Linked DNA regions of Canis lupus familiaris. The protein of the gene in region 2 binds, or shares a complex with, the protein of the main gene of each other region. Links are inferred from orthologs where the notes say so. Each region holds a gene or a part of one and is shown on either strand. Other genes may lie near its edges.

The links.
Region 1: RBM15B (region 2) and WTAP share a complex: the UniProt entries of both Homo sapiens proteins name them as parts of the WMM complex. The link is inferred for Canis lupus familiaris from reciprocal best matches to the Homo sapiens genes RBM15B and WTAP.
Region 3: RBM15B (region 2) and CBLL1 share a complex: the UniProt entries of both Homo sapiens proteins name them as parts of the WMM complex. The link is inferred for Canis lupus familiaris from reciprocal best matches to the Homo sapiens genes RBM15B and CBLL1.

The regions. Positions count from the first base shown.
Region 1 is NC_049222.1:49,506,630-49,509,120, forward strand, and holds the end of WTAP (pre-mRNA-splicing regulator WTAP), read left to right. Parts: intron 1-647; coding exon 648-1,231; 3' UTR 1,232-1,903; downstream 1,904-2,491. UniProt on the Homo sapiens protein: Associated component of the WMM complex, a complex that mediates N6-methyladenosine (m6A) methylation of RNAs, a modification that plays a role in the efficiency of mRNA splicing and RNA processing.
Region 2 is NC_049241.1:38,597,395-38,601,553, reverse strand, and holds the start of RBM15B (putative RNA-binding protein 15B), read left to right. Parts: upstream 1-1,236; coding exon 1,237-3,939; 3' UTR 3,940-4,159. UniProt on the Homo sapiens protein: RNA-binding protein that acts as a key regulator of N6-methyladenosine (m6A) methylation of RNAs, thereby regulating different processes, such as alternative splicing of mRNAs and X chromosome inactivation mediated by Xist RNA.
Region 3 is NC_049239.1:13,103,101-13,107,514, forward strand, and holds the start of CBLL1 (E3 ubiquitin-protein ligase Hakai), read right to left. Parts: upstream 2,915-4,414; 5' UTR 2,541-2,914; coding exon 2,528-2,540; intron 2,401-2,527; exon of another isoform or gene 2,273-2,400; intron 2,083-2,272; exon of another isoform or gene 1,919-2,082; intron 1,892-1,918; exon of another isoform or gene 1,760-1,891; intron 1-1,759. UniProt on the Homo sapiens protein: E3 ubiquitin-protein ligase that mediates ubiquitination of several tyrosine-phosphorylated Src substrates, including CDH1, CTTN and DOK1. Targets CDH1 for endocytosis and degradation.

The DNA.
Region 1 (2,491 bases), on a different chromosome or scaffold from region 2:
ATCGGTTAGAATACCTTTTAAAGTACCTTTTCAAAGTGATAGTTGTTAGCTCTTACTATATGTAAACATAGTGACTAGGAGATTTTTGTATAGTAATGAAGGACTTTCCTTTCCCAAGCTTTTTTAGGAGTAAGTGGATATGTGAATTTTATCAATTTTCAAGAGTTATTTTTTCTGATTTTTGCTTTTGTTCTAGCATAGGCCTCTTCGGAGCATTAGAGGACCCACTGCTCCCTAGGGCTAAACTTGCTGTGGAGCTGAGATAGACAGTAGCTAGGGGGGTAAGGAGGAAGGGGACTGGCCATGTGGGCCCACAGGTAAACAGATGTGGAGTTGGATTTGGGATATAATCAGTTGTATAATATGGCTAGATTTGAATCAGTTTTAACTTGTTTGCTTTATAAAACTATTTTAAGCATGTCTCCCCCCCCCCCCCAAAAAAAAAGAGAACCAAACTCATTCTTAAATGGCTATTTTTAAATTTGAAGGAAAATTTTAAGATATATATATATTTTTTTAGAATTGTGTTCACGTAAACATTTATTGACTATCTGACTTTGTGATAGGCATTAATAAAGTCTGTTATAAATCTTTTAAAAATAAATGTTATAAGAATATTAAAGTAGGTTTGACTCTCCTTTGCACAGAACTGAATGACTTCATCATTCAACTTGACGAAGAAGTAGAGGGTATGCAGAGCACCATTCTAGTTCTTCAGCAACAACTGAAAGAGACGCGCCAGCAGTTGGCTCAGTACCAACAGCAGCAGTCTCAAGCTCCAGCCCCAAGTACCAGCAGGACTACATCTTCTGAGCCTGTAGGACAGGCGGAGGCCACAGGTAAAGACTGCAGTCGGCTGGCCAACGGACCAAGTAATGGCAGTTCCTCCCGGCAGAGGACGTCTGGGTCTGGATTTCACAGGGAGGGGGACACAGCCGAAGATGACTTTCCTTCTTCTCCAGGGAATGGTAATAAGGCCTCCAACAGCTCAGAGGAGAGAACTGGCAGAGGAGGTAGTAGTTACGTAAATCAACTCAGTGCGGGGTATGAAAGTGTAGACTCTCCCACGGGCAGTGAAAACTCTCTCACACACCACTCAAATGACACAGACTCCAATCATGACCCTCAAGAGGAGAAAACAGTGAGTGGGAAAGGTAACCGAACTGCGGGTTCCCGCCACGTTCAGAATGGCTTGGACTCAAATGTAAATGTACAGGGTTCAGTTTTGTAATATTTTTTCCAGCAAATTTTTATACAGTGTCATTTAATTTGGGAGAGGATACTGTCCAGAAAATTAACGCATACTTTTGTCACAATTTGCCTTTTTTTGTGGGTGTGGTTTTTTTCTTTCCCTTTTTCTCCCCCCTCTCTTTCTTTGCTTCAATACCTCTGCCACTTTGGAAATTGTAACAGTTAATTACCTTGAATGTTGCTAACAGGACATTTTGTGTAGGGTCAAGTTATTTTTATATGAGTTAATGTGAAGTTGTAAATGGAAATCTTTCCTTAAAGTATAACACAATGATGTCTGTATAAATCTGTGTCTATCCTAGAACCTGTGCTGTGTAAGGGCATTCTTACTCATGCTGTTATTATACTTATGCACCATTCAGACTTGTTAGAGTAGATGTGGGTTTATGACTGCCAAGTTTGCCCAGTACAGTAGTTTTATCACTAAAAGTTGGACTTGCTGATGGAGTCCTATAGTAGTTTCAGTGTTAGATACAGTTTTTTCCACCATACATCCGTGCATTTTCTCTTTAGGTGACTGAATGTTTAAGAAATTTGTGTGCATAGTTACTCAGTTTTTATGAACTGTTGTATCCTGTTAATGCATATTGCTCTGTGACTCCAGTATATCTTACCTGTACTGACCAAACCTAAATAAAGATTTTTATTGTAACCGCTTGCATTAGTTTTTTTTATTTGTATCTCTGTGTTTAGCATGTCATTTATTTTTATTGAATTGATGAATTTTTACTCATCATCCTTCAGCATACCACAGTGGTGAAGCTTAAGTTCATGCATCAATCTTGATTGTGCACTTAGTTTTTTAGAAATGTATGCTTTGGGGTGTCAGGTCAGCTCGGTTGGTGGAGCGTGCAACTGTTGATCACAGAGTTGTGTGTTACAGCCCCACACTGGATGTAGAGATTAAAAAAATCTCTAAAAACTGTTTTGCAAGATCAACATGGAATTTAGGACTATAAATTTTTTTTTCTGATTTGTAAAAAATCATAAAATATTCAAATATTCAGAAAAGAAGAAAATATGTAAGTATTTGTCAGGTTTTAGTTGAAAAGTACAGTTTGTTTTTGTGAAATGATTTCACGTAATAGGGATATCTGTATAGTCAGTGATGTTCATTTTAAAACATCGGCTACATTCAGGTCACAATCTCAGGGTGGGTGAGATCAAGCCCTACGTCGGGTTCCGTGCTCAGTGCACAGTCTGCTTAGAGTTTGTCTCTCCCTCCGGTCCTCTACCCCCC
Region 2 (4,159 bases):
CTCCCACTCTAGGGCTGACCCCCACGGTTATCTACAAAGGGTTAACTCATTCCTGCTGGAAGGGGAGTTAAGATCAGACAATGTTACAGATGTTTCTTTTAAGAGCTTTCCCCTTGCACTTGCCTCAGCTGCTCCAGGAGCTGCTTTATGTATGGTCATGGGAGGAGGAGGAGGAGGAACTGGCAGCCTCTTCCCCGCCCCCACGGTTTCCGTGCAGAAGGGTCAGGTTCTGCGATGCTTCCAGCAGCTCTCGGGAATAAAACCATCCCAAGGCCGCTTGGGCACCCAGGCAGGATTCTTTCCGCCTCCCCCGCACCTCACCTCTGGAGAAGAGGTCCTGGCCCTCGAAGTGGATAGAAGGGCACTGGTCAGCCTCAAGAGGTAAGCGTAGCAAGCTGTGCTAACGACTGGGTTTGGCCTTCTCTTCGCCCTTGGCTCCGTGGCCCTGCCCTCAGCCCACTGCTCGGAGGGCCGCAGCCTAGTGGCGCCAATTCGCACTCGGTAAACGGCGGGTTTGCTGGCGCGGGTTTCTCCGCCTCAACCCTGCTGAGCCTCGCCTTTTGCATGGACAGCCCTTGGTCATCGCGGCCTTTCCAGGGACCGCAGCAGGTGATACCTGAATGCGGAGGATCCCTGCTTTGTGGGGCGTGGGCGCTGGACAGGGCTGAGGGAGCGGCGTGCTTAGATCCTCTTCACCGTCGACCCCGGACCAGTCGGGGGATGCTACGTAAAGAGGCCGCTGGTCAAGAGTCGGGAGCCCGGCGCCCACAGGCACTGCCACTCCTGTTCCACGCAGCGCGGGCCCCCGCGCCGGAAGCGGGAAGCCTAGGGCCGGCAGGAGCGAACCAGGCCCGCTCTCGCGATGGCCCCCATCTCCGCGCAGCCCGGCCCCAAGGCCGCGCGGTGGCGCCAGAGCTCAATGCCGGGCCGCGATCGCCCGCCGGCCTCCCGGCCCCTGCCCCGCCCCCGGGGGTCACGTGATGGGGGCGGCGCAGTCCGATGACGCACACCCGGCGTAGCTCTCGCCCCGCCCGCCGCGGGGTCACGTGACAGTCCGGCGCTGCCTGATAACGCGACGCCCAGCCCCTGGGCGCCGCTCCCGCCCCGCCCCGCCGCCACCGCCGCGCCGAGTCCTTTTGTCCAAGATGGCGGCGCCGGGGGCGCTGCCTCCTCGGCCGCCGCCGCCGCCGCTGTGAGGGGCCTGCGGGCCGCCCGCCCGCCCGCCGCGCCGGCGCCATGAAGAGGCAGAGCGAGCGAGACTCGAGCCCGAGCGGGCGCGGCTCGTCATCGTCGGCCAAGCGGCCGCGGGAGCGCGAACGGGAGGCGGAGGCGGGCGGGCGGCGGGCGGCGCACAAGGCCTCGGGCGGCGCCAAGCATCCCGTTCCAACGCGGGCCCGCGACAAACCCCGCGGTAGCGGGGGCGGCGGGGGTGGGCATCGCGACGGCCGCGGCGCCGGGGACGCGAATCACCGTGCGAGCAGCGGCCGCTCCTCGGGCTCGGGCGCTGGCGGCGGGGGACGCGGTGGCAAGGCCTCCGGGGACCCAGGCGCTTCAGGTGCATCACCTCGCGCGTCTCCGCTGCCGCCACCTCCGCCACCGCCCGGGGCCGAGCCCGCGGGGCCCGGCTCATCGGCGGCCGCACCCGAGTACAAGACGCTGCTCATCAGCAGCCTGAGCCCCGCGCTGCCCGCCGAGCACCTCGAGGACCGACTCTTCCACCAGTTCAAGCGCTTTGGCGAGATCAGCCTGCGCCTGTCGCACACGCCAGAGCTGGGCCGCGTGGCCTACGTGAACTTCCGGCACCCGCAGGACGCACGCGAGGCCCGCCAGCACGCCCTGGCCCGCCAGCTGCTGCTCTACGACCGGCCGCTCAAGGTGGAGCCGGTGTACCTGCGTGGCGGCGGCGGCGGCGGCGGCGGCGGCGGCGGCGGCGGCGGCGGGAGCAGCCGGCGAAGCAGCAGCAGCAGTGCTGCCGCCTCCACGCCGCCCCCAGGGCCGCCCGCGCCCGCCGACCCGCTCGGTTACCTGCCGCTGCACGGCGGCTACCAGTACAAGCAGCGCTCTCTGTCCCCAGTGGCCGCCCCTCCGCTACGGGAGCCCCGCGCCCGCCACGCCGCGGCGGCCTTTGCCCTGGATGCTGCCGCCGCCGCCGCAGTAGGACTGTCCCGGGAGCGGGCCCTGGACTACTACGGTCTGTACGACGACCGCGGGCGCCCATACGGCTACCCCGCCGTGTGCGAGGAGGACCTGATGCCTGAGGACGACCAGCGGGCCACGCGCAACCTCTTCATCGGGAACCTGGACCACAGCGTGTCCGAGGTGGAGTTGCGGCGGGCCTTTGAGAAGTACGGCATCATTGAGGAGGTGGTCATCAAGAGACCTGCCCGTGGCCAGGGTGGTGCGTATGCCTTCCTCAAGTTCCAGAATCTAGACATGGCCCACAGGGCCAAGGTGGCCATGTCGGGCCGGGTGATTGGCCGAAACCCCATTAAGATAGGCTATGGCAAGGCCAACCCCACCACTCGCCTCTGGGTGGGCGGCCTGGGACCTAACACCTCACTGGCCGCTCTGGCCCGGGAGTTTGACCGCTTCGGGAGCATTCGGACCATTGATCACGTCAAGGGAGATAGTTTTGCTTACATCCAGTATGAGAGCTTGGATGCAGCTCAGGCCGCCTGCGCAAAAATGAGGGGCTTTCCCTTGGGTGGTCCAGACCGAAGGCTGCGTGTGGATTTTGCCAAAGCAGAGGAGACCCGGTATCCCCAGCAGTACCAGCCCTCACCCCTCCCTGTGCATTATGAGCTGCTCCCAGATGGATATACCCGGCATCGAAGCCTGGATGCAGACCTCCGGGTGCGGGATAGGACCCCCCCACACCTCCTGTACTCAGACCGGGACCGGACCTTTTTGGAAGGGGACTGGACCAGCCCTAGTAAAAGCTCTGACCGCCGAAACAGCCTGGAGGGCTACAGCCGCTCAGTGCGCAGCCGGAGTGGGGAGCGCTGGGGAGATGGGGACCGGGGCCTGCCCAAGCCCTGGGAGGAGAGGCGGAAGCGGAGGAGCCTCTCCAGTGACCGCGGGAGGACAACCCACTCCCCTTACGAGGAGAGGAGCAGGACCAAGGGTGGTGGGCCACAGGTGGACCGGGGCTCTGACCGCACTCCTGAGCGCAGCCGTAAGGAGAATCACTCCAGTGATGGGACCAAGGAGTCGAGCAGCAACTCCCTCAGCAACAGCAGACACGGGGCTGAGGAGCGGAGCCACCACCACCACCACGAGGCTCCAGACTCTTCCCATGGGAAGAAGACCCGAGAGAGCGAGCGCAATCATCGGACCGCTGAGGCTGAACCCAAGCCTCTGGAAGAGCCAAAACACGAGACCAAAAAGCTCAAGAATCTTTCCGAGTATGCCCAGACACTGCAGCTGGGTTGGAATGGGCTCCTAGTGTTGAAAAACAGCTGCTTCCCAACATCTATGCACATCCTAGAGGGGGACCAAGGGGTTATCACGGGCCTCCTCAAAGACCACACTTCCGGGAGCAAGCTGACCCAGCTGAAGATTGCCCAGCGTCTGCGGCTGGACCAGCCCAAGCTCGATGAGGTCACGCGGCGCATCAAGCAGGGGAGCCCCAATGGCTATGCGGTGCTCCTAGCCACCCAGGCGACCCCCAGCGGGCCTGGCACTGAGGGGATGCCCACGGTGGAGCCAGGCCTACAGAGGCGGCTTCTCAGGAACCTGGTCTCCTACTTGAAACAGAAGCAGGCCGCAGGGGTGATCAGCCTGCCGGTGGGTGGGTCCAAGGGCAGAGACAGCACAGGCATGCTCTACGCCTTCCCGCCCTGCGACTTTTCACAGCAGTACCTCCAGTCAGCACTGAGGACATTGGGCAAGCTAGAGGAGGAACACATGGTGATAGTTATAGTAAGAGACACTGCCTAGCCCAGACCTGGCTCCAGCTCCGCGTTTGTGTCACAAAAGCAGTTCTTTTAAAATCCGACCACCACCCTTCCCCACATCCTACCCCTTGGTTTGAATTCTCTGCTGGGTTATTTTGGTTCATTTGATGGGGGAACCAGAGTCCTGACCCCCACCAAAACTAAGTTCTTAAATTTGGGGATTTTGTTTTTTTGTTTTGTTTTGTTTTTTTCCAGCAATGAGA
Region 3 (4,414 bases), on a different chromosome or scaffold from region 2:
GCAAGGACAATGGCTTACAACAAAATTAAAAGAATTGAAAAAGGAACGCCTGGCTGGCTCAGTCAATAGACCATGTGACTCTTGATCTAGGGGTTGTAAGTTCCAGCTCCAGGTTGGGTGCAGAGCTTACTTTAAAAATAAAATCTTTTAAAAACAGAAAAGGAGCAGCAGGGATATCTGAGTAGGAACTAATTTTTTAAGTGGTCAGATCATTTGTGAATATTTTCATGCCAGGATGACTCTTACTTTCTGGTCAACATTTTAACTTGGAGAACTAGGATAATACTCAGAGACACACCCAGCCACACTACAACTTCCTAACATACTATCCTCTAAACTGTGGAAGGCGCTTCACTCTCAATTCTAGTAAGGGGCTGTAATGAGAAGTGTTTTGCTGAAGTTGCATGTTTACTACTCTAACACCAAGGTCCCAGATCTCAATTCTACAAAATTTCCAAAACCAGAGTTCCTTACAGCCCGGTTCTTGGCCCTCTTCTTCTCTGTATTCTTGTTCTTTGAGTGATCTCATCCATCCCCATTCCTTAAAACAACAGCTACCTGCTCATAAGTCTCAAATACATATTTTTCAACCCAGATCTTTCCTCTGATCTCCACTTGACATCTCCCCTTATATATCCTCGTACACAGCTCATCCTTTGCAGCCAAAAATCTCATTCTCAAGTTCCCAAGTCTCCCTTTACCACTTAAAAAAAAGACGTCTGTTTTCCTCCCAAGTTTTCCCCAACTTAGTAACGGGCACTGCCTAGCTGCTCAAACCAGAAAGGTAGTCATCTCTCCTTTCTCTCACAAAGCTCCTATTTGAATTCCACCACAACATTCGATATGCCCACTCCCCTTTTCTTTAAACCGAACCAACTTCATTACCGAGCCTCTCTTAGTGTTCTACTGCAATCACCATCTAAACTATTTTCTATCAGTCTTGTCTCTCACACCATTCTCCACAAACAAGTTACTGTGTTTTTAAAAGAAATTATGTTCCTCCTGTACTCCTGCTCAATGGCTTCAGGGATCCCCAGGTGGCTCAGCAGTTTGGCACCTGCCTTCAGCCCAGGGCGTGATCCTGGAGTCCCAGGATTGAGTCTCACATCGGGCTCCCTGCATGGAGCCTGCTTCTCCCTCAGCCTGTGCCTCTGCCTCTCTGTCTCTCATGAATAAATAAATAAAATCTTTAAAAAATAAAATAAAATCTTTACCACGGCCTTCAAAGTCCTGTACCATCTGACTCCCACCGTCCCTTCCAATCTCTTAGGGCTCATTGCTTCTTGCTAAGCTGTAGCTGACTGACCTCTACGTTTTCCTTCCTCAGAGTCTTCATATTTGCTAGACACGCTTTACTCCTGATTAATTCCATGCAGGGATTCTTCTCATCTATCATATCTCAGCTTAGAAATCCAGAAAGACCCTCCCTGACCACTCTCTCTGAAGCCTCCTCCTTTAGTCTTTACCACAGACGCTGTTAATTTTTTTTCCAAGCGCTCATCATGATCTGTAATGCTTAGGTTAAAAAACAACAACAACAACAAAAACTTCTCTATCGTGTCTTTCCCAACAGAATGTAATCTCCATGAGGCCAGGAACGCAGTTGGCCTGGTTTCCAAGTCCATCATTCCCTCTCTAGGCATACTGGGGTCTGGCATAGGTTTTGCTGACTAGCACTCACTAAATTTTATAGACAGAAATAATTTTACGCCTATATGTACAAAATTAAGTAGGCATTTGATGACTGAGAACACCTTACCCAATACTTAATACAAGAAGTATCCTTTTATCCTACTTAGGATATGGCTGATGGAACCACACGGAACAGCAGCCCCAGGTTCACTCACTCACTATCCAAAAGCCACGATGAAAAAAAAAAAGCCAAACAACACACAACGAAGAGCGGAGTCCTTCTTACTTGGAGAAAGAGATGCGGGTATCTTGAATTTAAGCTCTCCTTTGTAAACGCCCCCGAAAGAGGAGTAAGGACCACAGCCGAAGCGCGGAGCAGGCTTTGGGCTCAGACAGAAAAGCCGGTCCGAGCAGGATTCCGAAAACTCTCACCTGGCTCCCCGCTCCGCCTCGGGTCCACGAAGGACCGGCAGCGCCCCCCGCAGCGCCCGCCCGCAGCCCCCTCCCGCGCCCCGACCCTGAGCCTGGAGTCTGCCCGCCGGCACCCGAAACGCAGAGCGGGGCACCACGGTTTAAAAAGAAAAAAAAAAAAAAAAAAGGAGGCAGCGCGCCCCGGTCCCCACGAGGCCGCGCCGCCCACCGTGCGGGCGGGGAGCTCCGCAGCACCAGAGCGGCGGCTGCTGCCGGCACCGAGGCTGTAGGTACCACACCGGAGGGTAGGCCGGGAAACGGCAGGCCCTTGCCGGGCACCGGGAGGGGTCTGTGGGATTTCTCTCTCACCGCCACCCCCCAGCGCTGCAGGGCGAGCGCATCCCCGCTCCGCCCGCCGGGCAGCCAGTCCCAGGCCGGCCGAGGGGGCATGGACCCGGGACCCCCGCTGCCTCCGCCTCCTTACCAGTGTGATCCATGATTCGGCTCGCGGGGCACAGTGGGAGCGGAAGTCAACCGCGCCGGAGTCGCAGGGCGCGCGTGCGCGCTCCCTTCCGGAGCCCGCGAGGCGGAAGTGCGACCGAGCTGCCTCGGCTTGGGCCTCCTCAGGTTCCCCTCTGTCGGGTGGGTGCACTACCCAACTCCGGTGAGGGCGTCTGGCATAGTTCGAGGGAGACAAAGGGGGGTACGCCAAGAGCTTCCAGGTCGAAGGTGCTAAGCCTTGACTACAGAAATGAGACCCGAGGGCACGGGGGAACGGGGAGAGCACCAGCAGCCGGTGGAACGAACTCGCGGCAGGTAAGGCGGCTGCTCGCCCCCGCGGAGCGTTGCCTTCTGGGACTTGTAGTGCGCGGCGGCCTCGGAGCCGGCCGGGCGCAACTGCGCAGACTCGGCCGTTGGGCTTGGCCCCACCCCGGCGGGCGGAGTAACGGTTTGGAATGGCCCGCAGTGCGCGCGCGCCGGCGTCCTCCGCGCGGGGCGGGGGGGGGGGGCGTGCGGGGAGCGGGGGGGGTGCGTAGCCGCGCGCGCTCCGGAAGGCGTCCTCGGCGGGAGGTTGCCCGGGGGACGGCCGCGCCGTGGGAGCGGGGAGGGCTCTCGGCGTGCGGTCTCCATCCCGCCCCGTCCTGGCGGGCCCCGCGGAGCGCACGTGGTACCGGCCCGTGCTCCCACCGAGGAGGTGTGGTAGCGGCGGAGACGCAGCAAGGCGCCCCGCGCGCCCCTCCGCGGGGTGGGGGTGGGGGCGGGGCGGGGCCGCCCGGCGGGGGAGCGGGGGAGCGCGGGGAGCGCGGGGCCCGGGGGGAGGGGCAGCGGGGCGGTACCTAGCTCCAGCTCCTGGTCGCCGGGGGTCGCGGCCGCGGCTGCCTTCATCGTCCCCGGCCAGCGCCGCGGAGTGGGTCCGGGGGCCCCTGAGCGAGGCGGCGGCGGCCTCGCCGACCGGGCTCCGGGTGTGCGCTCCCTTCTCCGACCCTTCGCACCTGGTGCTCTCGGAGGAGTGGGAAGGAGCGCACGATTAAGGAGAAAACACGAGCCTGGGAGCCCAGGGATTTGGGTTCTATTCCTGTCGTCCCTTGGTGACGACATCGTTACCTTGGGTGGTTCACGCTTTCCGTGCCAGAGTTCCTGGATCGATAGAAGAAGATGATGATGATGATTCTCCTGCCCTCCTCCCAGGAGCGTTCTCCGGCCCCGAATCCTGGAGGGAGCGCGTGCGGCGGTGCGCTGGGCCGGTAGTGCTGCAGCGACATCGGCGTGGAGTCCTCGGGAGCGGAACCTTGAGTGCTCCGCGCTCGCCGGTGGATGGAGGTTCTCCTGGGGCCTTTAAAGATTGTACTTGTTCATGAGACACAGAGAGAGAGACCTAGGCAGAGGGAGAAGCAGGCTCCCTGCAGGGGACCCCCCCACACACCCTAAGATCACGACCTGAGCCAAAGCAAAGGCAGATGCTCAACCACCCGAACCAGCCAGGTGCCCCTTCCTGGGGTCTTGAAATACACTTCCCCGCGGCATCTGAAGCTTCCTAAACAAGTTTTTCGGTACAGTTACAGCCAAGGGGAATTGTGAATCAGACTTAACCCTTGCTTTTGTTGAAAGGTAAATTTCTGTATCACTAAGTGGTTTCCAAGACGCTTTCAATTGCTGAGCTTGTTTTTTTGTTTGGGAGGTTGGAGGAGGCTTAACCGTACCTTTGCCCTTTCTCTAAATATGGTGCTAGATATGGTCGTGCATTTTTCACCCATTTGAGGTACAGAAGAAGGTAGTTTTCAGCTAGGAAGTCCTCTTTGTATTTTTTTTCTTTCTTTCTTTCTTTCTTTCTTTCTTTCTTTCTTTCTTTCTTTCTTTCTTTTTTTTTTTT